Coturnix japonica: one gene and its partners. The protein of the gene in region 3 interacts with the protein of the main gene of each other region in a biochemical or structural test. Links are inferred from orthologs where the notes say so. Each region holds a gene or a part of one and is shown on either strand. Other genes may lie near its edges. The genes, in order: PDZRN4, PDZRN3, RPS6KA1, HTRA1, SLC9A3R2, MAGI2 and SNTA1.

What was found.
Region 1: the proteins of RPS6KA1 (region 3) and PDZRN4 interact in a test that uses a peptide from one of them, tested with the Homo sapiens proteins (2 studies listed by BioGRID and IntAct, with this or other methods). The link is inferred for Coturnix japonica from reciprocal best matches to the Homo sapiens genes RPS6KA1 and PDZRN4.
Region 2: the proteins of RPS6KA1 (region 3) and PDZRN3 interact in a test that uses a peptide from one of them, tested with the Homo sapiens proteins (2 studies listed by BioGRID and IntAct, with this or other methods). The link is inferred for Coturnix japonica from reciprocal best matches to the Homo sapiens genes RPS6KA1 and PDZRN3.
Region 4: the proteins of RPS6KA1 (region 3) and HTRA1 interact in a test that uses a peptide from one of them, tested with the Homo sapiens proteins (2 studies listed by BioGRID and IntAct, with this or other methods). The link is inferred for Coturnix japonica from reciprocal best matches to the Homo sapiens genes RPS6KA1 and HTRA1.
Region 5: the proteins of RPS6KA1 (region 3) and SLC9A3R2 interact in a test that uses a peptide from one of them, tested with the Homo sapiens proteins (2 studies listed by BioGRID and IntAct). The link is inferred for Coturnix japonica from reciprocal best matches to the Homo sapiens genes RPS6KA1 and NHERF2.
Region 6: the proteins of RPS6KA1 (region 3) and MAGI2 interact in a test that uses a peptide from one of them, tested with the Homo sapiens proteins (2 studies listed by BioGRID and IntAct, with this or other methods). The link is inferred for Coturnix japonica from reciprocal best matches to the Homo sapiens genes RPS6KA1 and MAGI2.
Region 7: the proteins of RPS6KA1 (region 3) and SNTA1 interact in a test that uses a peptide from one of them, tested with the Homo sapiens proteins (2 studies listed by BioGRID and IntAct, with this or other methods). The link is inferred for Coturnix japonica from reciprocal best matches to the Homo sapiens genes RPS6KA1 and SNTA1.

What each region holds. Positions count from the first base shown.
Region 1 is NC_029516.1:26,461,534-26,465,033, forward strand, and holds part of PDZRN4 (PDZ domain-containing RING finger protein 4), read left to right. Parts: intron 1-102; coding exon 103-204; intron 205-3,500.
Region 2 is NC_029527.1:14,007,657-14,010,034, forward strand, and holds the end of PDZRN3 (E3 ubiquitin-protein ligase PDZRN3), read right to left. Parts: coding exon 1,400-2,378; 3' UTR 501-1,399; downstream 1-500. UniProt on the Homo sapiens protein: E3 ubiquitin-protein ligase. Plays an important role in regulating the surface level of MUSK on myotubes. Mediates the ubiquitination of MUSK, promoting its endocytosis and lysosomal degradation. Might contribute to terminal myogenic differentiation.
Region 3 is NC_029538.1:149,007-152,506, forward strand, and holds part of RPS6KA1 (ribosomal protein S6 kinase alpha-1), read right to left. Parts: intron 3,453-3,500; coding exon 3,415-3,452; intron 3,291-3,414; coding exon 3,148-3,290; intron 2,745-3,147; coding exon 2,674-2,744; intron 2,441-2,673; coding exon 2,352-2,440; intron 2,153-2,351; coding exon 2,088-2,152; intron 1,465-2,087; coding exon 1,362-1,464; intron 1,112-1,361; coding exon 984-1,111; intron 563-983; coding exon 437-562; intron 1-436. UniProt on the Homo sapiens protein: Serine/threonine-protein kinase that acts downstream of ERK (MAPK1/ERK2 and MAPK3/ERK1) signaling and mediates mitogenic and stress-induced activation of the transcription factors CREB1, ETV1/ER81 and NR4A1/NUR77, regulates translation through RPS6 and EIF4B phosphorylation, and mediates cellular proliferation, survival, and differentiation by modulating mTOR signaling and repressing pro-apoptotic function of BAD and DAPK1.
Region 4 is NC_029521.1:27,879,462-27,882,961, reverse strand, and holds part of HTRA1 (serine protease HTRA1), read right to left. Parts: intron 1,900-3,500; coding exon 1,705-1,899; intron 1,014-1,704; coding exon 981-1,013; intron 1-980. UniProt on the Homo sapiens protein: Serine protease with a variety of targets, including extracellular matrix proteins such as fibronectin. HTRA1-generated fibronectin fragments further induce synovial cells to up-regulate MMP1 and MMP3 production.
Region 5 is NC_029529.1:6,192,138-6,195,637, forward strand, and holds part of SLC9A3R2 (Na(+)/H(+) exchange regulatory cofactor NHE-RF2), read left to right. Parts: intron 1-1,773; coding exon 1,774-2,031; intron 2,032-3,500.
Region 6 is NC_029516.1:11,182,834-11,186,333, reverse strand, and holds part of MAGI2 (membrane-associated guanylate kinase, WW and PDZ domain-containing protein 2), read right to left. Parts: intron 2,769-3,500; coding exon 1,969-2,768; 3' UTR 1-1,968. UniProt on the Homo sapiens protein: Seems to act as a scaffold molecule at synaptic junctions by assembling neurotransmitter receptors and cell adhesion proteins. Plays a role in nerve growth factor (NGF)-induced recruitment of RAPGEF2 to late endosomes and neurite outgrowth.
Region 7 is NC_029535.1:2,063,197-2,067,283, forward strand, and holds the start of SNTA1 (alpha-1-syntrophin), read left to right. Parts: upstream 1-1,287; 5' UTR 1,288-2,018; coding exon 2,019-2,280; intron 2,281-3,982; coding exon 3,983-4,087. UniProt on the Homo sapiens protein: Adapter protein that binds to and probably organizes the subcellular localization of a variety of membrane proteins. May link various receptors to the actin cytoskeleton and the extracellular matrix via the dystrophin glycoprotein complex.

The DNA of each region.
Region 1 (3,500 bases), on a different chromosome or scaffold from region 3:
TCATTGTCCATACATTCACTACAAATGAGCTGATATTTGCCCTTTATTGTGTGTTGCTTTGTGGAAATAGAAACTAATGTGCCACTTTCATTTGTTTTCTAGATTAATGGGCAAGATGTCCAGAATCGCGAAGAGGCAGTGGCATTGCTCTCCAGTGATGAATGCAAGAAAATTGTGTTGCTGGTTGCAAGGCCAGAACTGCAGGTTAGAGTAAATACAGGATAACCTGGGTTATCCTGTACATTCACTGTCACCATAAGTAATGAACTGCTGGGAAGGAGGAATGCCAAAGTTCCTAACAAAAGGAGGAAAAAGATAGTTGCAGAGCTTTGGCCCTTTATAGCCAACAGAGGAAATAATGTGATGTTGCCAGGGCTTCTTTGCCCCAAGCTAAGCAGTTTTTTTTTCAGCAGACAAAATAAGCAGGTATACAAATAAAGCTGACAGGACTAACATGATATTAGTAAAATATGAAGTAGAACTTGAAAACCATATATTGCTTGTTTGATGATTCTTAGTTGCTCTGGGGATAAACTTCCCATGCTTATCTTAGTCGTTTATACGAGCTTACTCAAAGCTGTAGTTTTTCACTGGTGATGGCTCTTTTTTCTACGCACTTGTAAACAACTGTTCATTTATGTACCAGTTATGGAAATTTCGCTACAGTACCATTCAGCAGCTCTGGATCTAATTGTTTTCAAAGTACCCTGGTCACAAAAAAATGCTGGTACATTACAAATTGTATCTCAGGAGGTGCTTTTTCAAAAGCTTTTAATAATGTTTCAGTGGTGCTAAGAATAAAATTTTGCCATGCCAAGAATATTTTATATCATGGCAGGGGGAGGTGTTAAATTGATCATCAAACTAAAGGAGAGGTAGAGTGGAAGAAGAGTACTGTTTGTACTTGCCTTTATATGCTGTTTTTAAGCCACTGCAAAGCAAAAGAGACATTATATTGCCACTGTTCTCTCCATCTGTCAGCAGTTCAAACAAAGTTGGTTATGTTGCCATTTGTCTCTCATGCCATTGATCTGATATTTCTCAGTTTTGCTAGCTGCATACTCTGTTTAAATTAAATTGAGTAAGTGTAATTCAGTGCCACTTGGAATCTCTACTTCAATCCAGTAGTTACATAAGATTCACAATTTCAGGATTTATTTTCTTTATATTTTTCATCAATCTAAGCAATTCCCATAAAGATGATGACATAGTGTACAGCAAAAAACAGTAGTGTATATTGCGAAATTTTAGCTCACATTGGAAGTTGCTGAGGTTTTAAAGAGTTTTTTAAACTTTTTTTTTTTTTTTTTTTGCTTTTTCACTCAAATTTTGTTGTTCTGTAGGGAACAGAAACCTACCAACTAATAAAGCATATACTCAGGGAAAGTCTGTTCTCTGTATTTGTTTAGACTGGTGAATATTAGAAAAATTATATTGATATGACGTAAGGAATTACTTTCTCATAACATTATTGCTTCCTGTACTGATGCTCCTTCCATATCTTCCATGTCACAGGACACAGTGTTCTTTGGTTCTTTGCTGTTTGTTTGTTTGTTTGTTTTCATTGCTGTTGTTTCTTTTTAGTTTAATTTTTACATTCTGAGTACATATTTATGTAAAACAGAAGAAACAGCCATAGTATATCAGATGTCAGGCTGCTGCAAACCTATTTCAGCTAGCTGTTTTGCTTTGACTCTGGTAAAAGATAGCAGGATTAAGCAGGCTCTTATTTTCAGATAGAAATAAGTATTGTCAGTATTGCAGTCTTGAAGACTGACTGCTAAGTACATTCACTGGGCCACAGGGAAGAAAACCTTTTTTGGCCATTTATTTGTCTGGTGAATACTGATGGATAATTAAGTTTTGATGCATATCACCAAGGAGGCACCTAACCTGTTCAATATTGAAAGAAAGAGCATGAGCAATTAATTCACATGTGTTTAGGGCGCAGAATGAATGTAGTACCCATGTATGCTAAAGTAGAAATGATCTTTGTGCTAAAAGTGTATCTTAAGGATTCGCATTAAGTTAAATTTGCGGTCTGCCATGATCAAAGCAGCAGATTTACCCAAGTGAGATCCATCTTTCATCCTCCAGATTTTGTTATCTTTACAGTTTCCTCAAATGTGATAAATTAAGCTGCATTCTTCATACTAGAGAAGGACTGTGTTCCTGCTTTCCTTGGTAGAAAAAGCAAGTAAGAACAGTAAAGAAAACTAGTAGTCAATACTAGATGTTTCATAGAATGGTTTCTAAGTCTCATTAAGGACAAATATAAAAATTACATGCCCCCCACTCCAATGAAAAAAATAAAAACCTCCTTCATTCTAATTTCGGGCTGTTGAAAGCTGACTTTGCCAAGAAAAACTTCAGAAAGTTTATGTTTGTCAAAAGCATATTAGACTTTTTGAAAGAAACAGTGATACCTGACCAGCATTCAGGTGTAAGTACCACACAGCGCTAATCACTCTCAGTGTAGTTTTGAACTACCACTTGCTGATTTGGTTAAGTGTGCTTTGATGCAGTGGTAGCATTTCTGCTGTGGCCTGTGTTGCACTGATCTGGCTGCCTTGAAACATGAATAGTTGGTATTGTTGTCACTGTCTGGTGCTTAGGAATTTGTCGCCCTTTTGTCACAGTCCTCCTCCAGTTCTTTCACCAGTGACAAAACAATAAATATTGCCTTCTGCTTTTTTCCCACCATCACAGCCTTTACAAGAGTGTCACTGACTGGTATTTTCCCTTTCAGTGCAGTGCACCATCTGGTGAGGGATTACAAATACAAATGGACACACGCCATATACACATAAGCACAGTGAGCAAAATGGGAAGATAAGAATTTTAGAGCAGGGATGCTGGTTTTGTTAGTGTAGAAAGCTGTTAAGGGGGCTAATTAGATGTGGAGAGAGGGTATACTGACTAGATGAAGAATGCAACATTCCCTCCTATCCTTTTGCAAGATTGTCATCAAATGTCAAAGAATTACACTTAGGGAAAACACAGACAGATAAGGGTTGTTTCCAGGCACACTGTAAGGACAAATATAACTACCCTTCCAGTTGCCACATCTGCCTATTGCCATCTTCTCTATGTATGTTTTCCTTGAAGATCAATGGAGAAATTGCTGTAGAAATGCAATGCAAGGCTGTTATTGAGAGTGCAGCACTATGGTACAGCACTGGGGTGGAGGCTGTTGAGAGAAAGAACCCGGCTGTCTTGTGGCCCTATTAGTAATGATGCCGCTCTATCAGCGCTGGGGCTCTCAGCGGTAATGAACATGACAGCTTCAGGATTATGCACTGTGCCTTTCATACCTTTTGAAAAGAAAAAATGTCTGTGCTGTGCAGTCTCCTTCATTATGAAAGAAAATCAGTCATACTGTTTCAAGAAAGGATAAAAGGCATGAGAGTCCCATTTTTTATCTTTCTTTTTCTTCTTCCTTTTTTGAGAAGCAGACTCCTACCGCCTGGCTTTCTGAAGTGAATCATTATGATAAAAAG
Region 2 (2,378 bases), on a different chromosome or scaffold from region 3:
AGAGGGGATGAAGAATCTTGGAGCTATTAATAATGAGTCTAGTTTGCTATTTCTCCAGAAAAAAAATCAAGTTTATTTCTGAATTCTTGTTTAGAAACAGAAAACAAGAAAAGGAGTGAAGTATCTCTTTGAAATTCACTTTTTGTCCTTTGTCCTTTTCTCAATCTCCTTTAACTTACAAATTTGTCTGTTTTTAATGGAAAGCTTTGCTAAAGTTTGTAGGTTAGTCACCATTACGATACTGTGAAACAAAACAGAAGAGTAGAAATCCTATCTTTTCTTTATGCTTACAAGTAATCCTGAACACCTTGTGAAGTAAACACTTTTACTCTTCATATTCCTGCTTCTCTCTTGCCTCTTCCCTCCATATCACCTCAGTGCTGACTTCCCTCAAGGTCAGGATGCCGTCCTTCCTATTAGGCTCGACTCCCACACGTGGGAGCTGTGCTCTAGGACAGGATGCTCAGCATGGCACAACAGTAAGGGAGTTAAAAATAAAATTAAAATGTTTGAAATATAAAACAATAATTTATTTTACTTCATTTTACTTGTTAACATTTGCAGCTAGTGATGATTTAATGAAACCGCTTTTATAATTCAATACATTCAAATCTATAAAGCAAACAGTAACTACCATGGGCTTTTCAAATTCCACAAACTGTCTTATATAAACAAATCAGCTGTACATGCACGTTTTCTTCAAGAGGTTGCAATGTTTGCAAACATGCTTTAAAATCTTTAAAGCCGCAGTACACTTCTCTTTGCTTCAGGCTTTTCAGATGAAACCTATATGCTTTCTTTATAAACCTTAGAACAATATTTAAATGTTGATGGTAACTAAAAACTGCAGTTTGATAAATGTTAAATCTTACAAGAGAATGGCTCTATTAGGAATTCAGTAACTCTGAGTTTAAACCTTGAGCTAAATATAGATAAACAGCACTCAGTGTAGAAGTGAACAACAGCAGAATAGTATCAGAAAATATGGTTTCACAAAAAAATACGTATGTGCGGTTGCTCTTGTGGGGTTTTGCATTTTTTTTTTTAGACAAAGAAGAGCACGGGTACCTTTTTATATGAATATAGTTTAAGCAAATTACCTGTGTAAATATGGTTAATACATTTCTGATATTTAAACACTTTATGTAAAAGGTAACAAGTAAAAAAGTACAATCAGTATCCAAAAAGCACTGCTAATATTGCCTCTGAAGGAGCTGGGGTGGGCAAACAGTCTCTCCATTTTTATAATGGAGATCCTGGCACCCGCAGTCGTAGAGTTCAGTATTTGAACTATAAACTCGATGACTGTATCTTATATACAAAAATCTTGCCACATTGAACGAGGCATTGATTCCTACCCCAATGGTAGCGTTCTATGTACATAATTTAGCAATGGTGATTATACAGTAGTCACTGACAGGAAGGAATTGTACACTCGTGTTCCATCTGGTGACTTTGTTCCATGGGTAAGCAGTTCCTGGATTGTCATCCAGTTGTCAAATATTTTTTTATTCCTTTTCTTCATCATTTTTTTGTGGCTCAGTTCAATGATATTCACCTCTTTCTTTTCTTCTGCACCTTGCTGTTCCTTTAAACAATCCAGCCTGCTCTGCATCATAAACTCACGTCGCCTCCTCTGCTCCTTGGCTCGCACCAAGTGCTGCTTCCGCTCCTCTTTGCTCCAGTAGCGGCCCATCTTCATTTCACTTATGGCATCATCATCAGTAGTCATCCCACTGCGTTCTTCCTTAATCTTTATGGCTCGTTCTCTCAGCAATCTGTCCCTGACTGGCCTCTTGGTGATGTAGCGGGTTCCATCGCTTCGGACCTTCACTTTCCACTCCATCCTCGGCTCACTCTGACTTGCACTGAAGTCTTTGCACATACTCACCAGGCTCATTTGGCTCTGTGCATACTCCACTGCTGATTTTTGTTGGATCAGCTGCATGTAGCTCTGATAGTGCTGTGCGTGAGCAGGAATATGAGCATGCTTATATGGAGAGTGGTGGTATGGGGAGACATAAGAGCCAGAAGGTTTCTGACCATGAGTAGGGCTTTTGCTTCCATCACTGGCTTTTCTCTCCTTGCATTCCATCTGTTTGCTCGTCTCAGGATCTTTAGCAGATGAATGGCATTTACCTGTGCTGGATTCATGACTTTCTGAGCTGGAAAACAAATTCTTTTGGGAGACATTATATGCCACTGCTCCCTCATTACCTTGACAGTTGATGCCTTCTGCAGTTCTGCGCAAGGAATTGTCAGGAGAAATCTCAAGTGTGAGCGGAGTGCTTCGGCAGCTTTCACCTGTGTTGTATGCACTTGAGCTATCCTTGTCAGACTTCTCTGGGAGCTCTGTAATGTCTGAGAGCTCATGCCTG
Region 3 (3,500 bases):
AAATCGTTTCATCTCAACTCACGAGTTTTTTTTTTTTTTTTTTTTTCTTTCTGATTCTCTCCCCTATCTCACTGGGAAAGGGGCCAGTGAGCAACAGATTGTGTGGTGCACAGCCACCTGCTGGGATAAATCACAACCACCATCCAGTTCCAACCCCTGCTGTGGGCTGCTTGCCCCCCACCCAGTCAGGCTGCCCAGGGCCCCATCCAGCCTGGCCTTGGGCACTTCTGGGGATGGAGAACCCACAGCTCTTCTAAGCAGCCTGTGCCAGTGCACTGCAGACATACTGTGCTATATCCATTCCTTGTCATTTGCCCCAAAATTGTATATTTAAGTCCCACAGTCAGGGAAAACAATTTCATTCCTTGTTATTATTTTGGTCATTACAGGGATGAACAGAAATCTAACAAGGGAGGTCAGACTGAATATCTCAGACCTTGACTGCATACTCCATGTTGGTTGTTTTGTGAATGCACCGTTTGCACACTGAGTAGGAGCCCACACCAATCGCCTCCTTCACCACGTAGCCATCACTGAACTGGATGTTCTTGCCATGCAGCTGCTGCAAGAAGAGAGCAGGGAGCGAATGAGCTGGGAGGGTTCAGGGAATGGTTTGTGCAACGAGTTAACTGCAACACCAAGTGAAGTGATAGACTGCTGTCTGCTACATCCCACATCCTCTCCTCCCTCCTGGGGAGACAGAGGAGAGGAGAACACGGCAAATATAGGTCAGTAGGCTAACACAATCTGCATCCAGCACACTGCATTCCTGCAGCACCTCTCATTCACATAGCCTGAGTCCACCTGGCAAGAAGGAGGCAAACACTCAGTGTGCTCTGCTGACCTCTGCATGACAGTCAGTAAGAGCAAAAGAAATCAGGATGCAAGAATTCGAACCAGAATATCTTTCCTTTAACTCCTGAAGACCCACTCTGGAGTTACTGCAGTCTCAAAGCAGATGTTCTTCCATCCCCATGTCTCACCTGCACCACGGAATGCAGGGGGGGCTGTGCAGGTTTCACCTTGCTGTCTTCCATCAGACCGGTGGCCACAAAGCTGAATCCGCGGAAGAGCTGATGTGCACCTGCACTGGGAGGGATGCCTGGGGAATCTGCAACAGGAGTTGAAGGAAAACTTGAAAAGGAGCAGCAGCGGAAGCAGAAGCCTTCCCCTCATGGCTGTGCTCAGACAAGAGCAATATGATGCAGCACCAAGCTACCAGTAACACCCTGTGTATGGCTGGGACTCCTCCCTAAAGTAGCCAGGAGGAGGCAAACCTTTACCCTGATGGCAAAGGCAAGGCAGGATTAAGCTGTACTATTTCACACAGGCTTCAGCTGAATTCATAAATTCATACCAACCTTTTGGTGTACGCGATGTAAATTCTGTATCAAAATAAAAGGTGTCATCAGGCTGACCTACAGCAGGCTTGAAGGGTGGCTTGATTTCCCTTCGGTACAGCTTCTGCAAAATACAGGTAGTATATGGAAGTCCTGGAATAGCTGAATGTGCTCAGAAGCGTGCAAATAGCTGCTAGGAATGAGAGGCTGGGAAGAAAATTTACAACACTAGAAACAGTGTTGTGACTGCAGTTCAGCAGTGGGAGGGATGGCCTCCTGGCCAAGAGAGCGCCTTTCAGTCCGTTTGTGGAGAAATTCTTTAGGTTTCTACCACCTATCATATATTAATCAAGAAAAAAAGTAAATAAATAAAAAAAAAGTTCTATGTATAATGCAGGGAAATGTAGGTTCAGCTATTGCCCTGCTTCTCTGCAGGGTACAATGCAGCTGTTTACCTGAGCCCTTCCTACTCTGTGCAAGGCAATCCTTGCGCCAAACCTCAATTAAAACCTGCACCTTAGTTCTGAGAGCTCAAACCAGGGTGAGGTCACCAGCAACTCAGTATGAAACAGTATCTTGCATGACTAACAGCAGTTTGGTTTCGGGAAGGACAATTAGGAAAGATGGAAACATGGGTTGGTAGCACTCCCTCAGCTGGTCAGACTGCAGGTGGCACCACTGAGGTCAGCAGAGCTGCATCACTGTGCTGAATGGGGTGAAAATTGCTTTTGCGTTTCTGATACTCACATTCCAGTCAATAGTAGAGTAGAACGGATGACGCTTTATCTCTTCTGCCCCATCTGGACCAGAACCTGAAAGATCCACCCGCAGACTGCTTAACATTTAATCAGGATCAGCAACAAAGCGAAGGCTATCACCAAGCATGCAACATAACCATGTATTATGGAGAACCTATTAACTTAGCACAAGTGCCAGCATGCTGCCAACCCACTGTGATGTGAGAGGCACAGCTACAGCATCAGGTGGATTCAGAAACAAAAAATGCCTTACCTAATCTGTTGGCTGGGTTCCTTTTGAAAAGGGCTCGAAGGAGGCTCTGTGCCTCAGCGCTCAGGAACTGAGGCATGCCCAGTTTTGCTCTAGGGAAGAAGTTATGCAATCAGCTGCAGGTATAAAGAAGCCAACCCACAAGCAGCACCTCCACCCCTGAAACAACAATCTGTTTGGCATTTTGTACTGCAGCCTTCAAACTGAGTGTTGATACAAAGCTACCTGCCAAGTAATGGCATTATGTTGTGAGAACCCCAACTGCAGCATGCTTAGAGAAAGAGCAGCACGCTTGTCTCTATACACACATGAAATCTCCTCTTACTTAAGGATGAGGGTCATCGTCTCCTTGCGGTCCTTCCCCTGGAACGGCAGCGAGCCAGTGAGCATCTCAAACTGAGACAAAGAGACAACAAGGGGAGGTCACATATATAAACAAGTCTGAGGGCTGCACAGATCTCATTACACCTTCATCTGGGAATTCTCCACAGCTGGCAGAAGCCTTGCAAGTGATCAAAAGCCTGGCTCTGGAAAAAGAGAGCAGGCATTACATTCTCAGAAGGGAGCTGTATATCACATTGTGTAGTGGGGATATGTTCCAGCAGTGTCTGCTCCTGCCACAGCCCTTGGATCCAGCAGCTGCCAGATGGTGGCACCAGATCTGCACAGCAACCAACAGCCTGCTCCAGGGCTGACACTGGCACCAGCACATCTGCTGGATGCAGAGTCACCAAATGGCATTTCATAGCTAACCCCTGAGCAGATGCTGAGGTTTCCAAGCCCACCAGTTGGTACCTACCATCAACACCCCATAGGACCACCAGTCCGCACTGTGGGAGTGGCCCTGACGGTTCACAACCTCTGGGGCCATATATTCCACTGTCCCGCAGAAGGAGTAGGCTTTCTTCTCATGGTCTATCGCTTCCTTACTCAAGCCAAAATCTACGAAAGAGAAAAACCATCAGCATGGTCTAAAAAACCACCTGGTCTTCACAATGGCCTTGAGCAGAGAGGTCTGAGAGAAGTTCCATGTTTCAAGAACCAAGGTTTTTATGGAGCACCTCACCTGTGAGTTTGATGTGTCCTTCTTCATCCAGGAGGATGCTACAGCAAGGAAGAAGAAAACAAGTCATTAGTGGCAAGAAAGGCTGG
Region 4 (3,500 bases), on a different chromosome or scaffold from region 3:
TTCATAGAACCATAGAATTGCTCAAGTTGGAAAAGACTCTGAAGATCATCAAGTCTAACCACAATTCCGTCCAATTTCTCTGAATCACCTACTGATACGAAAAGTATTCTAAATGTTTTGGAAAACCAAAAGCTCTTCCCAGCAATATGACTCCTGGATAAGCTCTCACATGTAAGAGCATTCCATGCCAAAGGAGGATTTCACCCCAAACAGAGGTGCACCAGCACAGCCAGTAGATTTCCCATTAGCAAGCACTGACGTGCTGGGGCCAGGACAGAAAAAGGCTCAGGATTGAAAGAGCAAACTATCCAACCACAACTTTTAAATGGCAGGTTACTAGAGCTGCAGTTGTTTTGCAAGTCAAGTAGAAAAAAGTTGCCAAGTTTCCAATACAGAGCCTCTGAGAAGCTCCTATTCCCCTTCTAGGGCTGACAGAGCTCCTGCACAGCCACCTGGTTTTGCACCCTGCTTTGCTGTTCTCCTCTAAGCTCGTCCACAGCTGCTGTAAGGAAGCTGACTGCTTCCTACAGAACCAGCATACAAAGCTTAAGGAGCTCATAAACACATGGGGTTTCCTACCCTGTGAACGTGCTTCAAAATAAAAGGAGGGCACACATTTCTGAACCATTAAACTGAGCTTCAGTTTGCAAGAAACTGAATTTTCAGCTGCATGGTAAACACCAAGTGCAAACACCTCGCATTAAAAATGAACTTCTTACTTTTCTTGCAAAGCACAGGCAAATTATTTGGGCATTACAAGTAGCCCAAACTATGCAAAGTGTAAACACCTACATATTGAAATCGTGGCGTAGTTTGTGATTTGACAACAAAAACACAGACAAGTGATTAGTAAGAGCCATGTGAATTTTGTGTAGCCGGGCAAACACTGAAAGCTCTGAATCACACTTGCGGTGCTCTTGTTTTTGTTTTTAGACCAGAAAGTAACAGGCTTCACACTAAGCAAACAAAGAATCTCTTACCAGGTTTACTAAGGGTCCTCCAGAGTTTCCATACTGCAAACAAACATGGGAAAAGCAGGTTTTAATATCCACACTTAACTCATAATGAGCAAAATGTTCAAGGGATTTTTGAAATGTTTCTGTAGCAGTTTTTCCATTATCTATTAAAGATACACAGTGAAACACTTACGACTCCAAACCGTTACTTAACACGCACTTAACATCCCTCCTTTTTTTGCATTTCAATTCTCCTTCTCTTGCCAGAGTAACCTAAGTAAACTGGGACTTCTCATTGGTTTTAATAGTAGCAGACTGGCAGCATAGAAGACTGTAATACGGCTTCGGAGCTGCAAGCAAACATCCCTCACAAGGCCAACAGTAGACAAAAGCTATTGTTCTGCCTTAATGCTGAAACAAACTTGAGTTCTTAAGCTGAGCGTGGCTTCTTTCTAGAAAGCATGACAGATTTTGAGGAGAAACTCATTCAGCAGAGAATGCCTCCTCCTCCCTTACAGGCTGTAAGAAGCTGAAGGGAAGGCAACCATTGAACTTGGTGTGGTCCCTTTGGGGGTTTGGTTTAATAACAATCAGGCACTGCTGCACCGCAGATGTCCATATTTGCGAGGATGAAAGAAAAGCCAGCTATGCTCACTGTTCTTAAGAACCGCATTACTGGAGGAGCTTTCAAAGCAACTATTCCAGAAATCTGAGAGCCCAAAGAGCCAAGGCTCAAGGCAGGACATACATTGATGATGGCGTCCGTCTGAATGTAGTCCATATCGGAGTTGCGGAGCCCCAGCTCCTTTCCTCCGCGCTGCGTGGTGCTAACAATCCCTGTCGTCACCGTGTTTTGAAGGGAAAATGGACTTCCAATGGCAACCACAAACTCTCCCGGCCTCAAGTCTCCAGACTGACCAAGCAGAAGGACTGGCAATTTACCCTACAAATGGAAGGAGATTAAGAAAAGAAGAAAAATTCATACACCATTAGGACATTACTATGCAGGTCAAAGAGAAATAACTGTTCTTTAATGGAGTAGAAGAAAAAAAAAAAACACTTGAAGAGTGCTTTTTCCACAACAGGTCCCCATTCAAACCAAATGGTCCCCATTAAAAACAAATGAAGACCAAAGGAATATTTGTGTATTGCTGTACAAAGCAAACATTTGGCGATACCAGGAAGGAGCTGTTCCCAACAGCTTCTTGAAGTAATTAGCCAACAGCTGTTGATGTAAAAATAATATATTCCTTAAGAGTGAATTCTAGAGGGAGTCATGAAAGCAACAGCCAGGGCGTATCAAACAAACATGCATGTAGTTAAAAGCATTTCATATTCCCATAAGACATGAACTAACGTTTCATCTATTGTTCAGTAGACAACTAGATTACCTCCCACGTATCTAGGTGTCTTGTGAAGATGTGAGGATTTAAAGACTTCCTAGTATTTTCTTTTTATGACAGTAAGGGATGCCATTATTCTTTCCTTTCAAGATCTTATCTTGAAACATGAACTATCACATAATTAAAGACTTTCCCCTCCGAGACAGAAAACATTCCTAAATCCAGCATCAACACAGAGCGCTGCAATTTACAGCAATTAAAAAAGAAGGAAACAAAAAAGCAACGGCTGAACCTAACACCCCTATCAATGCAGTGGATAAACTGAGCATCGTTTCTCCAGGACATCTGAAGAGGTTGGGCAGCAGATGGTTCAAACAAGACCAGTAAGTCCCCTGAGAGCAGTGAGCAGATAGTGGCAGCGAAGTTCCCCTGCTCACTGAGTAATTAAGGGCATTCTGAAACAGTCTGTATATCAAAGAAATGTTCTGCACTGATGCATCATCCACCTGCACAACATGCCTTGGGTTTGCTTCATGTTTTTAAAAGCCAAGTCTTCACTGTTTCAACGGTGTTACATATTTTTAACTGTTTCATGTTTAACCTGCTGTCTAAATGATCCTGACTACCACGACACCAGATCATTATCATTACTACCAGTGGATTAGGACATGCATCATTTGAGGCTTCAGTTTAAGCATCTTGCAGGATTTGAGAGGTACATGACCTCCAGATGAAAACAGAAGTCTCCCAGGACAGATCATTTGCTTGGTAGATTTAAATTATAAGATAGGTTTCCTCTATGCCCATCCAGCTGAAAAAATCCTTTCCTTTGCACAACAAGCTCAGCCTCCAAAATACAAGGCATTAATACAAACTTCCAAAATAGGTGACTGCTCCTAGATGCAGTAAATGCCCCACATATGGATTAACCCAAACCCAGTTTCCAAGAAGTGGGTAACTTCTAATATAAAAGGGATATCTTCAAGATATTCCTCAGCTTTGTCCCTAAAATGAAGGTACAAATTGGCTTAATAGTTATTCTTGTTGCCATTTATGTCTTCTTGGAAGCCAGCAGAAGTGCCTTTTTAGCCTGTATTTATTCCAAAACATGCAACTTACAGGCCTAAAAAGTGTAGGGGATTGTAAAAGCAGACAGTGTGCTTACAGAGCAAAAAGGCAAGGCAGCATTTAGTATGTCCTG
Region 5 (3,500 bases), on a different chromosome or scaffold from region 3:
GTTGGATCTGTGTGACTTTTCTCCTTGACAGTAGTGAGAACTACTGTGCTGCAATAGGGCCTGCGGGACCCAAACTGTAGGGCCTGAGAAGGAGGGAGGGATGTGCAGGACTCTGCCATTGCTTTTCCTGCATGCTTCCCCACATTGCTGCCCACCTGCAACCCCTGTTCCTGCACATCAGCTGTCTGTTCCCAGTTCCCTTCTGGAGGTGTGCCCTGGTACAGGTGCTGCTCTGACAGTGTCAGTGGCATCGCCTGGTGTTGCACAGAAATGGATCTGAGAAGGAGCAGATGGGTTTTCCAGGGTTTGGTGGAGCAGCACCCTGCAGGCAGGTTATGGGTAGGAACCCTCCTGGTGCAGGGTGGTGGGCATTGGTGCTTGCTGGGTTGGTTTGCTCGGCACACACAGCCATGTCTGCAATCTATAAATTTTGTCTTGGTGGTTTTTTATTTTTTTCATTTGCAGATACTGGCTCTGCTGACCTTGAATGGAGCTTGCAGGGGAGTAAATAAACGCTGGCTAATTGCACATTAGGCTCGTTTGTCACTTCTAACCTTGGCAGTTGCAGTATCTGGCTGGCCTGACCTAGATAGGGCAGGAGCTGTAAGGAACCCTGTGCTGCTTCAGGGTTTCCCCAGCACACATAGGGTGTCACAGGGCCATGAGTGCTGGCAGTGTCCCCCTGCAGCTGGGGAGAGTGGTAGAGCTGCATTGCCAGTGGTACTGTCTTCCTCTTTGGAATGAGGGCCTGTGCAGGCAGCAGGTGATGCCCTGTGGGATACCACCCTGAGGCTGCAGGCAGGGGGTTCTGGAGTCTTTTTCTGCCTTCTTCCCTCATATATCCACAGTTATTCCCTATTCCTACCCTGCCCTGCTGTGCTGGACTCATGTGCTTGCTTGACTGCCCTAGAGCTGAGCACAGCTCTCTACTTTCCCACGTGTGAGCTGCCCCGTGCTCCCCTTCCTCCCTGCTGGGCTGACACCGCCAGCTCCTTTCAGAGGATCTGCAGTCACACAAAAAAACGTGAAAAAGTGAGGCTGTGTGAGGACAATGGTCCCTTTCAGCCATGCCTGGAGCTGGAGACCAGCAGGGATGGGCTCATCTCCTGGTGCTGGTTTCCCTTATCTCTGCTGTCCTGTCACGCAGGGGGATGAATGCACGGATCAGATTGTTGCTTTTATAAATCTGCTTGGGAAGGGGGGAGGTGGGAGGGGGGAAAGTGTCCAAATGGGAAGAGTGCAGCAAAGGCAGTTGAGACATTGCATTTGTGCTCTGGTTCTTGGTGCAACCCAGCTTTCCACCTTGAGTTCTCAGCTCTGTCCCTGGGTGTGGGGGGAGAAAGAAGTCTCAGGTAAAGGGGTGAGGGTTTGCAGGGCTGTTTATGTGGTAGAACTGCATGTCCCTTGTGAGGGATGAAGCTAGGCAGCAGGATTCAGGATGTGTGTTGTGTGATGGAACAGCAGGCTTGCAAGTGGAGCAGAGGGGATGATGTCCACCTGTGTGTATGCAGCTGCCATGGGCAGATCCATCATTTAGGTGGTGTTGGAAGGAATTGTCACTGTCACCCATGGCTGCAGGCTGTGCTATCTTGAAGGATCCCAAATCTCTGCCCTCCTCCCCTGTTGCCTATAGAAACAGTAATGAATGTGCACCGTGCAGTGAAATGGAAGCTGCAGGAGAGCACCAATGGGCAGAGGGGTCTGGAGATACAGCTCTCCAAGAACTGGGGAGTCTCTGGGCTTCTGCTCACTACTTCTCCTTCTCCTTTGCAGGTGGTGCAGCGTATCAAGGCAGTGGAGACAGAGACCCGCCTGCTGGTGGTGGACAAGGAGACAGATGAGTACCTGTGCAGCCTGCGCCTGACATGCACAGAGGAGATGGCACACAGTGGGATCCTGCTGGGCTCCAACATCTCACCCTCCAAGTCAGTGGGCAGCGACAACGGGGAGGTGTGGAAACCACAGCTGGAGCTGAGCGCAGGCAGCCTGCAGCGGCACTCACACAGCTTCTCCTCACACGGCAGCAGGAAGGTGAGGGCAGAGCTGGTGGCACAGCGTGGGGTTGGACAGCAGGATGCATCCCATTGCAAATGTGCTTCCCGTTAGCAAACCTTCTGTATGTGGCTCTGGGCGTCTCAGTGTGTCCCAAAGCTGTGGGTGAGCTGCACAAGGCCTTGTTTGCTCTGTTGGAAGCAGTGTTGGCTGCTCCTGGAGGAGCTACAGAGAGCTGAGGTGGGCACCCAGCCCCCTGGGGACAACCAGGCTGCCCTGGCTGATGTCCTTGTCCCTTGTTTGGGGACAGGCAGCACAGGCTGTGGATGTGGTGGAGCTGGACTCCTTAACTCAGTCCATTTCTTCTGTGTTACTTCTAGGATGGAGGGAACAGCTGGGTTGAATGTGTTCTCAGCTTTTGCTGGAATAGGAAGGAAATAAGCTCTTTTTCAAGTGGTCTGAGTCTGGGCTGTGATTTTGCAGTAAGCGCCTTTTATTGGTAAACTCCTTTTCAGCAAGGAAAGAATTTGAGGTGGAAGATGTCCAGTTTCCATGGCTGGCTCTCTGCTGGGAGGGCGGTGATGGCACAGCCTTGCACGCACAGATAGGCAGCACTCAGCCCCGGCACTGTCCATGCATGGGATGTGAACGTGGCAGCCACCACCATGCAGCTGACTGTCCCCACTTTAATCACTGAGGGGGTGAATCCTGCAGCCCCGTGGTGCTGCTTATAACCAGGCTGTGCAAGGCTTTCCCTGCTTCCAAATCCAGCTTTAGCACTCGTTGTCCTCAGGAGCCCTTGTGGGGTAACAGCTCAAGCAATTTCTGCATGGGGATAATGTGTAGGGCAGAAAGCAGAGTTATGCATGGGGTTCTGCCTCTGACCCTCCCCCCCTCATATGGAGTTGCTTGTGTCAGGCAGAGCTGTGCTGGTCCAGGGGGCTGCCCTTTCTGGGGGTGCTGGAGGATGGGCTGTGGTATGAAGGTGTTCAGAGAGCTCTGGGTGGCAATGGAGGTCAGTGTTGTGCTGCTCATAACCTCCCAGGGTGGCTGGTGGGACAGGAGAAAGAAACTGGAGAGAGGGGGGCTGCAGTGCAAACAGCCGTGCATGGCTTCCCAGGCTGGGGGTTTCCTATCCTGTCTCTGTTCCTTTTGCTGGGTGAAATCCAACAGTTTGTGCTGACGGGAAGTTGGGCGCGGAGAACGGGCTGGTCCCTTCCGGCCTTTGGGTTTCGGCTCCTCCAAGGAGAGGGTGGGACAGGGAGAACTGAGAAGGCAGGGGGGTGCAGTGGGAGGGAGTGCTTGAACCCCCCTGCAGAGGGGCTGTGGGGTTGGTGAGGGTAAGTGCATGGAGCAACTGCTGTATTTGAGGCTGGTGGTGCCAGAACCCATGCTGGTATCCAGCCAATGCAGGTCCCAAACAGGACATAGTGACCCATAGGGGCTTTGCCTTGGGGAGAGCTCAGGACAGAGCTGTTCCAGATAGATTCCATCCATGGGAGCCATGA
Region 6 (3,500 bases), on a different chromosome or scaffold from region 3:
CACTGTTTTTTTCAGATTTCATTGTTTGCTTTCTTTATACATAAAAATAAGATACCAGGACATGCATCTACACTACAGAAGCATTGTCCAAAATCAGATTCAATAAATTAATGGCAAATTATATTGGAATTATATTCGATTCTAGTTCAGGGGATAAAGATTTGTTGGGGTTTTTCTTTTTCTGTTGTTTTTTTTTCTTTTTTTTTTTCTTTTTTCACTAAATAGTCATTTTATAAACAGCTACGTGGACTTGTGCTTTTCAGAAATTATACACAGAATTTCTTTTTCCCCAAAAGAAAAGAAAGAAAAAGAAAGAAAGAAAAAAAAAAAAGAAGAATTCTTTGAAAGCTGCAAAATCCTTTACTTGAGGCGTTTCAGATAATTGGACAGGAAGAAACATGCCTATAGATTTCTCAGTCCAGTGCGATGTTTGAGACATACAGCTATGTGCTGATTCCTTGGAACAAAGACAATCTCAATCTAACGTTTCAGCAGAGCGCATGAGGAACTAAGATTGCTCAAGAACAATCATTTTGGAATACGAACTGTTGACTGCATCATTGTTGTTTTTAATCACCAATGTGTTATTGCCCAGGATTTTGTATTTGTTTATTTTTTTTTCAATTCTGACAGACAAAGAAGCATATGCACACTCATAGGTACACACATGTATCTTTTTGAACCAAGAGAGTGACTGACTGACTGAACTTAGACTTATCTCCTGTGAAGGCAGACTGGAATGTTTACCTGGCACTTAAGGCTTGAAATTCAAAACAGACAAGCAAGAAAGACTAAAATCAAAAGAAAAAAAAAAAAAAAAGAAGAAGAAAAAAGAAAAAAAATGGAGGTAAGGAAGAAATGATAAAATGTAAACCATTTTAAAAATGGAAATATATCGAATTTACTAATTGAGGGCACCAAAAAGTGTATTTCCATTTAATAATTGTTACGTGCCTCAAAGACACCTACTCTGCCTAAGTGAGGGAATGGAAGATGAGAGCATCCTAACGAAATGGGGGTGGGTATGGAACATAGCACTGTTGATGAGTGAAACTCATTTCCTGCAGAATGGGAAGGCCTTTCCTTAAGGAAACTGCAGCTTTTTCTCTGTAGCAATCTTCCATACATTGCAAGGGCCTCGGGGATGTTGAAATTTTGAGCCTGGCCAACTGGCTTGTGTGCTACTGTGCAGGATTTGGGGAACGTGTAGTAAATTGCTTTGGAGAATAATTTGCAAATACAACTCCACCCTAACTCCTTTCCAATGTACAGAAACATGGTTGGTTCACAAAAATGGCAGTAGAGATGGTATCACAGAAACTAATCCACTAGATTCCCAACTCCTCCTGTAGCATCCAGCGAACTGTGCTACAGGGTATCACGTGGACTATCCCAAAGCGGTGACAGTGGAGACGTGTCATGGGCGTACAGTTCCAAATGCTTCAAAGAAACCCTTTAACCCCTGTCTAGATATGTCAAGAACAATTTATTTACAACATTTTAGCTCCATGAAAAGATTCTCTCTCAGTTTCAGCTTGCTCCGTGCAGTTTTATTTAAGGCGATGTTCCAGTTTGCGATTGCTCTAACTTGTTCCAGTTTCTTGATATAAAGTTTGAATGAAATCCAAGTCCTTCATGCAGTGGAAAAAAATGCTAAAGCTACACTGCACTATCCTTCTCTGATGTACTGTCCTTCATATTGTTTTGGTTTCTTCCATAGCTGCCAAAGTCCCTAAAATGGAACTGGGACTTTAGGGTCAATTTCAAATCTCCGTGTTGACTATATGCTTTTGAACTTATTAGATACTGTGCACATTGTCATGGAGTTACAGACTAATGTTTTCATCCCTCAATGCTTTGTGTATATGTGTGATAGTTAAAATAAATTAAAATAAATCAACGTGAGACAACAACTAAGAAGAATGTTCTGCGTCAATTTGAGACAGTTAGAGGGCAACAGTCCCGTGCTTATCTGCTCATGGCAGAAGTGCCAGACTTCAGGACGCCAGGTAGCTTATCTGAGCCGGGGATTTTCCACGGTCCCGGGGAGACCGTTGCCTTTCGAACTGTAGTGTTGGTGCTGCGAGTGCTAATGGGGTGGAGATGTCCCTTCCTGGGGAACTCACTGGGTTTCCCATCAGGATCCCTCTGGCTGTGATCCATATCGCTTCCAGGCGAGCTGCAGCGATTGCTACTGTATGTCTTGGTAGCACCTGCATCAAGCTTGGCATGGTCAGGTGCTGCAGCTGACTTCTTCTCACTGGTATTTGTGGATCTGTGATCTTCTTTTTTGCTAAGAGATCCTCCCCTCTTGCTTTCCGGCTTCTTCAGCCTCCCAAACTGTTCATCACTGCTTCCAGCACACATGTGCTCTCTCACGCCAGCCTCCATCATAACGCTGTGTCCCACCGCTCTGCTTTCCGAGGTGAGCCTGCCACCATCTGTCACCTTAGTTTTGCCTTCTGAATATCCTTTCCAAGAAGGCTCGTCGTGCTTTGACCTGTCTGCCTTTTTAGGACTTGCTGACCTTTCTCTTTGCTCTCCTACCCTTTTCTTTTTGTGGCCGTTCACCGAAAGCTCCTTTGGTTTCCTTCCATCGTGTTCCCTCTTGATATCCCATGTTGGTTCTGGGCATATCTGGTGAGAAGGGTCAGAGGGTGGGGCTATGTGTGATGAGGATAATGGTGAGATTATGTCGTCGAGGGACAGAGCTACTTCCGGCAGACCTGGGGAGGCGGCAGCGGGAGCGCTCCAGGAGCTTGGCTCGTCTGTGATGGCAACAGAGAGAAGGCGTCAGGGTGTGCTCAGCATGTCATGCACATCACACACAAAGCAACATGAACACCCGAATCACGCTTGAGAATCAGACTCCTCAGTCTTTCAGGGGAAGTGAGACTCCCAGTGAGGTCAATGGGGAGGGAACTCTTTACTCAGAGGGCAATGAGGCCCTGGCGCAGCTGCCCAGAGAGCTGTGGGTGCCCATCTCTGGAGGTGCTCAAGGCCAGGTGGGATGCGACCCAGGGCAGCCTCAGATGGGGGGCTGGAACTGTGGGGGGCTTTAACAACTGTTCCAACCCAAGCTGTTCTATGATTCTATGAAAATAAAACAGTCCCACTCTCCCCCAAATAAATAAAAAGCCCAGGAGAAAGTAAAAACCACGGGGCTGGTACTGCACACACTGAAAACCTCGGTCTTTTTTTATATAGGTTCTGCTTTTCTCTGCCTACGTTAAATTATTCTTAAAATAATAACGATGCGCTCATGAAATCAAATTGCCTCTTTTCTAGCTGTATAATGTATTTCTTTGCTGGGCAATATCAGTGCTGTCTCCGAGGACAAATGAGAAAGACTTTCTGCCATCTATAAACATGTCCCCACAAGCATATACTAATTGACAAGAATTTGTAGCTCAGATAAGGTCATCATTGAATTCTGTCTCATATTTTTTCTAAATAGATATAATATTGCAGTGTTTATGGCCCCACAATTCTTGCAGGGT
Region 7 (4,087 bases), on a different chromosome or scaffold from region 3:
GGGGATCCAGAGAGCAGAACCCAGACTGAGAAGGGAGAAACTCGGCCAGGAGTGACTGTGTCCCAAAGCAAAACATTTTAAAGTCAACTGGAGGAGTCGGAGACTGCACAGTTTGGGCAGACAACACCATTTCACTACATTTCCTGTATACCAGGGGATGAATCACTCGGTTAAGTACATGGTGCACATCTGAATCTCTTTTATTTCCCTGCCCATCCTCTCCAGTGCATTTGCAGCCTCTGATCTGTTTCAGCAAGGCAGGACCTGCTGCCCCATGCTCTCCTGAGGTGCTGCTGTCAGCCTTGGGGATGCCACTTCAGACCCAAACACGAGCTTTTCTTCTGTTTCAGAAGTGATTCATGTAAATTCACGCAGCTAACAGCGCTCTATAAATAGACGGGTGGGCTTTGACACAGCTCCTGTGTGTGCCAAGAGCTGAAGCTAATAATAGCAGCTCACCCACCACGTCCGGGAGCGGGGATGTTCTGCAGGGGGAGGATGGGATGGGCTCAGCCTTGTGACAGAATCACAGTGAAGATATCACCATCCCACGGGCACTGCAGCACCTCTGTGCCATGATGTGGGGCTGCACACATGGCCTTGCTGCCCAGCAGTGTGGCATGGCACAAGGTTTCCCCCTGTGTGGCACTGCTCTGCTTCCCACTGCTGCTTTGCATAGTGCTGCCAGGGCTGGGGAAGCAAACATATCACATATCCCTGGATGGTGCCATCCTGTGGCACTGGGAGCAGTGTCTCTGCTTTCTGACGTGGCTTACAATGAGAATACAGCCTTAATAATCACCTGTGCTGGAAATAGCATTGGAAAGAAAAAAGACTGCGAGTGGCAAGGGGCAAAGTGACCCCAACTGGCAGCAAAAGGACTGAACCCCCTCTGCTATGGGCACAGCAGCTCAGGGTCTGTGGGATGCACAGAGGACTGGGGGGGGGGAGGGGGGGGTGTGATGGGCGTGGGAGCATCACTGTTAGGCAAACCCAAAAAGTCACTCCAATCGAACTGCAGAATTTGGATTGAAAACTGGAATATCTGAGCTGTGCTTTGCAAGGGAAAAACCTTCAGGGTTTCCTCTGCCGCAATCTCAAGAAATTCCACAGCTGCCTCTGCGTGGGGGGAGCGCTGCTGCCTCCGTGTGGGGGTGGGGAGGGCTGCAGCCCCCTGCTCTGCAATACCCCCCCCACCTCCCCTTGTGCGTGAACGGGATTCAATTCCTTTAAGGCTGCGTTTGCAGAGCCTGGGGCTTGGGGACCTGCAGCCCCACCCCAGGGCTCTGGAGCTGCCCGAAGGGGCACAGGGGATGTACCCAGAGGTATTTTTTATCCCTCATTGCTGCCACTCGGTTGCAGGAGGAAATGCGGATCTGCCAAAGGAAACAAACACCGTTCCTGTTTTCAAGAAGCAGGACAGGGAAAGGAAAGAAAAAAAGCAAGACTGTTCTGAATGCCTCCAAAAATCCTCCCTGCTGCTGTCTGCACCCATCTTTGGGGCACCGACGTCGTCGGACGCCAGTGGGAGAGCTCTTGAGGCTGCCCCCCACCGCCCCCAAGAGCTGCCATTGCTTTTCATCATCGCAGTTTTCCTTAATAAGTCCAGAGTTCGCTTCGAGTCACTTCTGGCTCTGCCTGACAGCGCTGCTCGCTTCCACGACAGCAGTTACTCGTGTACCCCGCAGCACGCCCGAAGCTTTCGTGGCACCCGGTTCTCGGCACGGACACCGCTGCGCCCCGACGTGCCCCGCAGGGTCCCCCTGTGACACAACCGCACCGCGGTGCCCGGAGCCGGGAGGGTCCGAGTGAGGGTGTGCAGAGCTCCCCATGCCCCTCCCGGCGCTCCCCGTCCCATACTCGGGCACGGAGCCCCGCAGCGCGGCGCTGCCCCGACGGGGCGGGCGTGGGCCGGGCCGGGGGCGGTGCGCGGGGCTCGTTGCTCCGCCGGGCGGTGCGCGGGGCAGCGCGGAGCGGAGCTGCCGGAGCGGCGGGGCCGGGCCCGGCATGCGCGGAAGATGGCGGCGGGCAGGCGAGGGGCGCGCAGCGGGCTGCTGGAGCTGCGCGGTCCCGGCGGACAGTGGCTTCGCGTCCTGCTCACCCTGAGCGATGACACCCTGAGCGTCAGCCCCGCCGACGGCCCCGGGCCCGGGGAGCCTCCGCCGGCTCAGCTGAACGGAGGGGAGCAGAGCTCCGGCGTGCCCGAGGCGCTCGCCAACATCAGGCGCACGGTGCGCGTCGTCAAACAGGACGTGGGGGGGCTCGGCATCAGCATCAAAGGTGAGGGGGGGGGAGTACCAGGAGTGGGCGGCGGCGGCGGCAGGTAGGACCTACGCTGCCCTGCTGCGACCGGAGGGCTCCGCCCGCGTGTCCTTGCGTCCTGCGTGACCCCGGTGCGGTGTCCCCTCCTGGCCGCCCCAAACGCAGCGCTCTGCCCCGGTCGGGTGTCCCCCGGTGTCCCCCGCCGCCCCCACCCCCGTCCTGGGGACTTTGCGGGAACTTCGGGCCGGGAACTTCGCGAGGGGGGGTGCGGGGGGCTGCCGCTGTCTGACGTGGCCGCATTGGGCTCAGCCTTCACCGCGCTCCTTGCCGGGCGCTGCTGGGTGGGGCGGTGTGTCGGGTGCGGGTCCCCGTGAGGGGTCCGGGGTGAGCCCTCACCGCTTGTTGGGGCTGTGGGTGCTGCAGCTCGGCAGCGCTTTTGGGAGGTGCAATCCCCCCTTGTAACCAACCCCGGGCTGCGAAGCGCTGCCGGCTCTGCGGCTCTCCCAGGAAAGGAGAAACGTTACTTGCTTCAGCTAAACTTTATTTTTGCAGTGACGTAGGTGGAAACCAAGGAGCCGTGATCCAAACGGGGAGCTGCAGGCGGGCGGGCAGCACTTGGGCTGCCTTGTGCCTCTGCTGCTTTGCAGGGGGGTGACCATGTGCCATTAAACGCAGCCAAACCTTGCTGTCCCTGCAGGGGGTGGGGGCATGGAGGGACGGGTACCCCGCTGCCAGCCAGCTCCTGTCCATGGCCCGTGGGACAGAATCTAAAATGGACCTTCTGGTTAAAGCATTTCAGCTGCATCCTAACCCCAGACAGTACTTCACTTGGGGTTTCTGGTGCTTCATGCAGCCCTGCAGGGTTAGGGTTAGCATCGTTAGGGTTAGGGTTAGGATCCTTCTCCTGCAGGGTCGTGTACCGCATGGTGCTCCGGGCGGTGGTTCCCTCTCCACGCACACAGCCCAGAATGGGTGGTTGCGAGGCGTTGCTTCCAAGCTGGGCTCGGCAGCCAGCAGCAGCCCCCGCGGGGGCCTCTTGACAGCTGATAGCCGGAGGAGCCCTCAGCTCCCGGAGAGGCTCTGCAGAAATCCGAGCGGAGCAATGCTGGCGGCACAGCGGGTGCAGCCCTGGGAGGTGTCACGCTGCCGGTCCCTGCCCGTGGGAGGGGGGTAGGGGGGAGTGAGGGGGTGCCCGGCACACGCTGTCCCAGCGCTGAGCGTGGGCAGCGCCAGGCGGGGCTGCTGGCATCTCCTACAGGTTCAGAACTTAAAGTGCAAATTGATCTCCTTGAGCTGCCCGGAGGCCTTGAGAGTGTCCTGGTGGGCTGAAGAGTGGGGAGCAGCCCGAATGGAGACAGAGAGGAGTGGGGAGCAGGTAGTCCTGCGGCTGAGCTGCTGCTCTGGGGCTCTTTTGCCTCTCCAGCACTCAGCTGCTGCCCCACTGAGACCGTGGGGTCCTGAGAGCAGGGAAGGCTGCTCAGCACACACAGTTAATAATGCAAATAGTGACACAGTTTCCTGCCAGAAGTGATGGGGAGGCGGTCAGGGCGTGTGTTTGTTCAGCAAGGAAATCTGCAGCCACTCGGATGGTTTTTTGAAGCACTTAACATGTGTCTGCCATAAAGCTCTGAGGTATTTGGGCACTGTGTGGGCACTGAGCAGCCCTGTGCCCCTAATTGCTCAGTGTCCCCTCACTGCTTGGTGCCCCTTCTGCCCGCAGGTGGCCGGGAGAACAAGATGCCCATCCTCATCTCCAAGATCTTCAAGGGACTGGCAGCAGACCAGACCGAGGCACTGTATGTGGGAGATGCCATCCTGTCCGTGA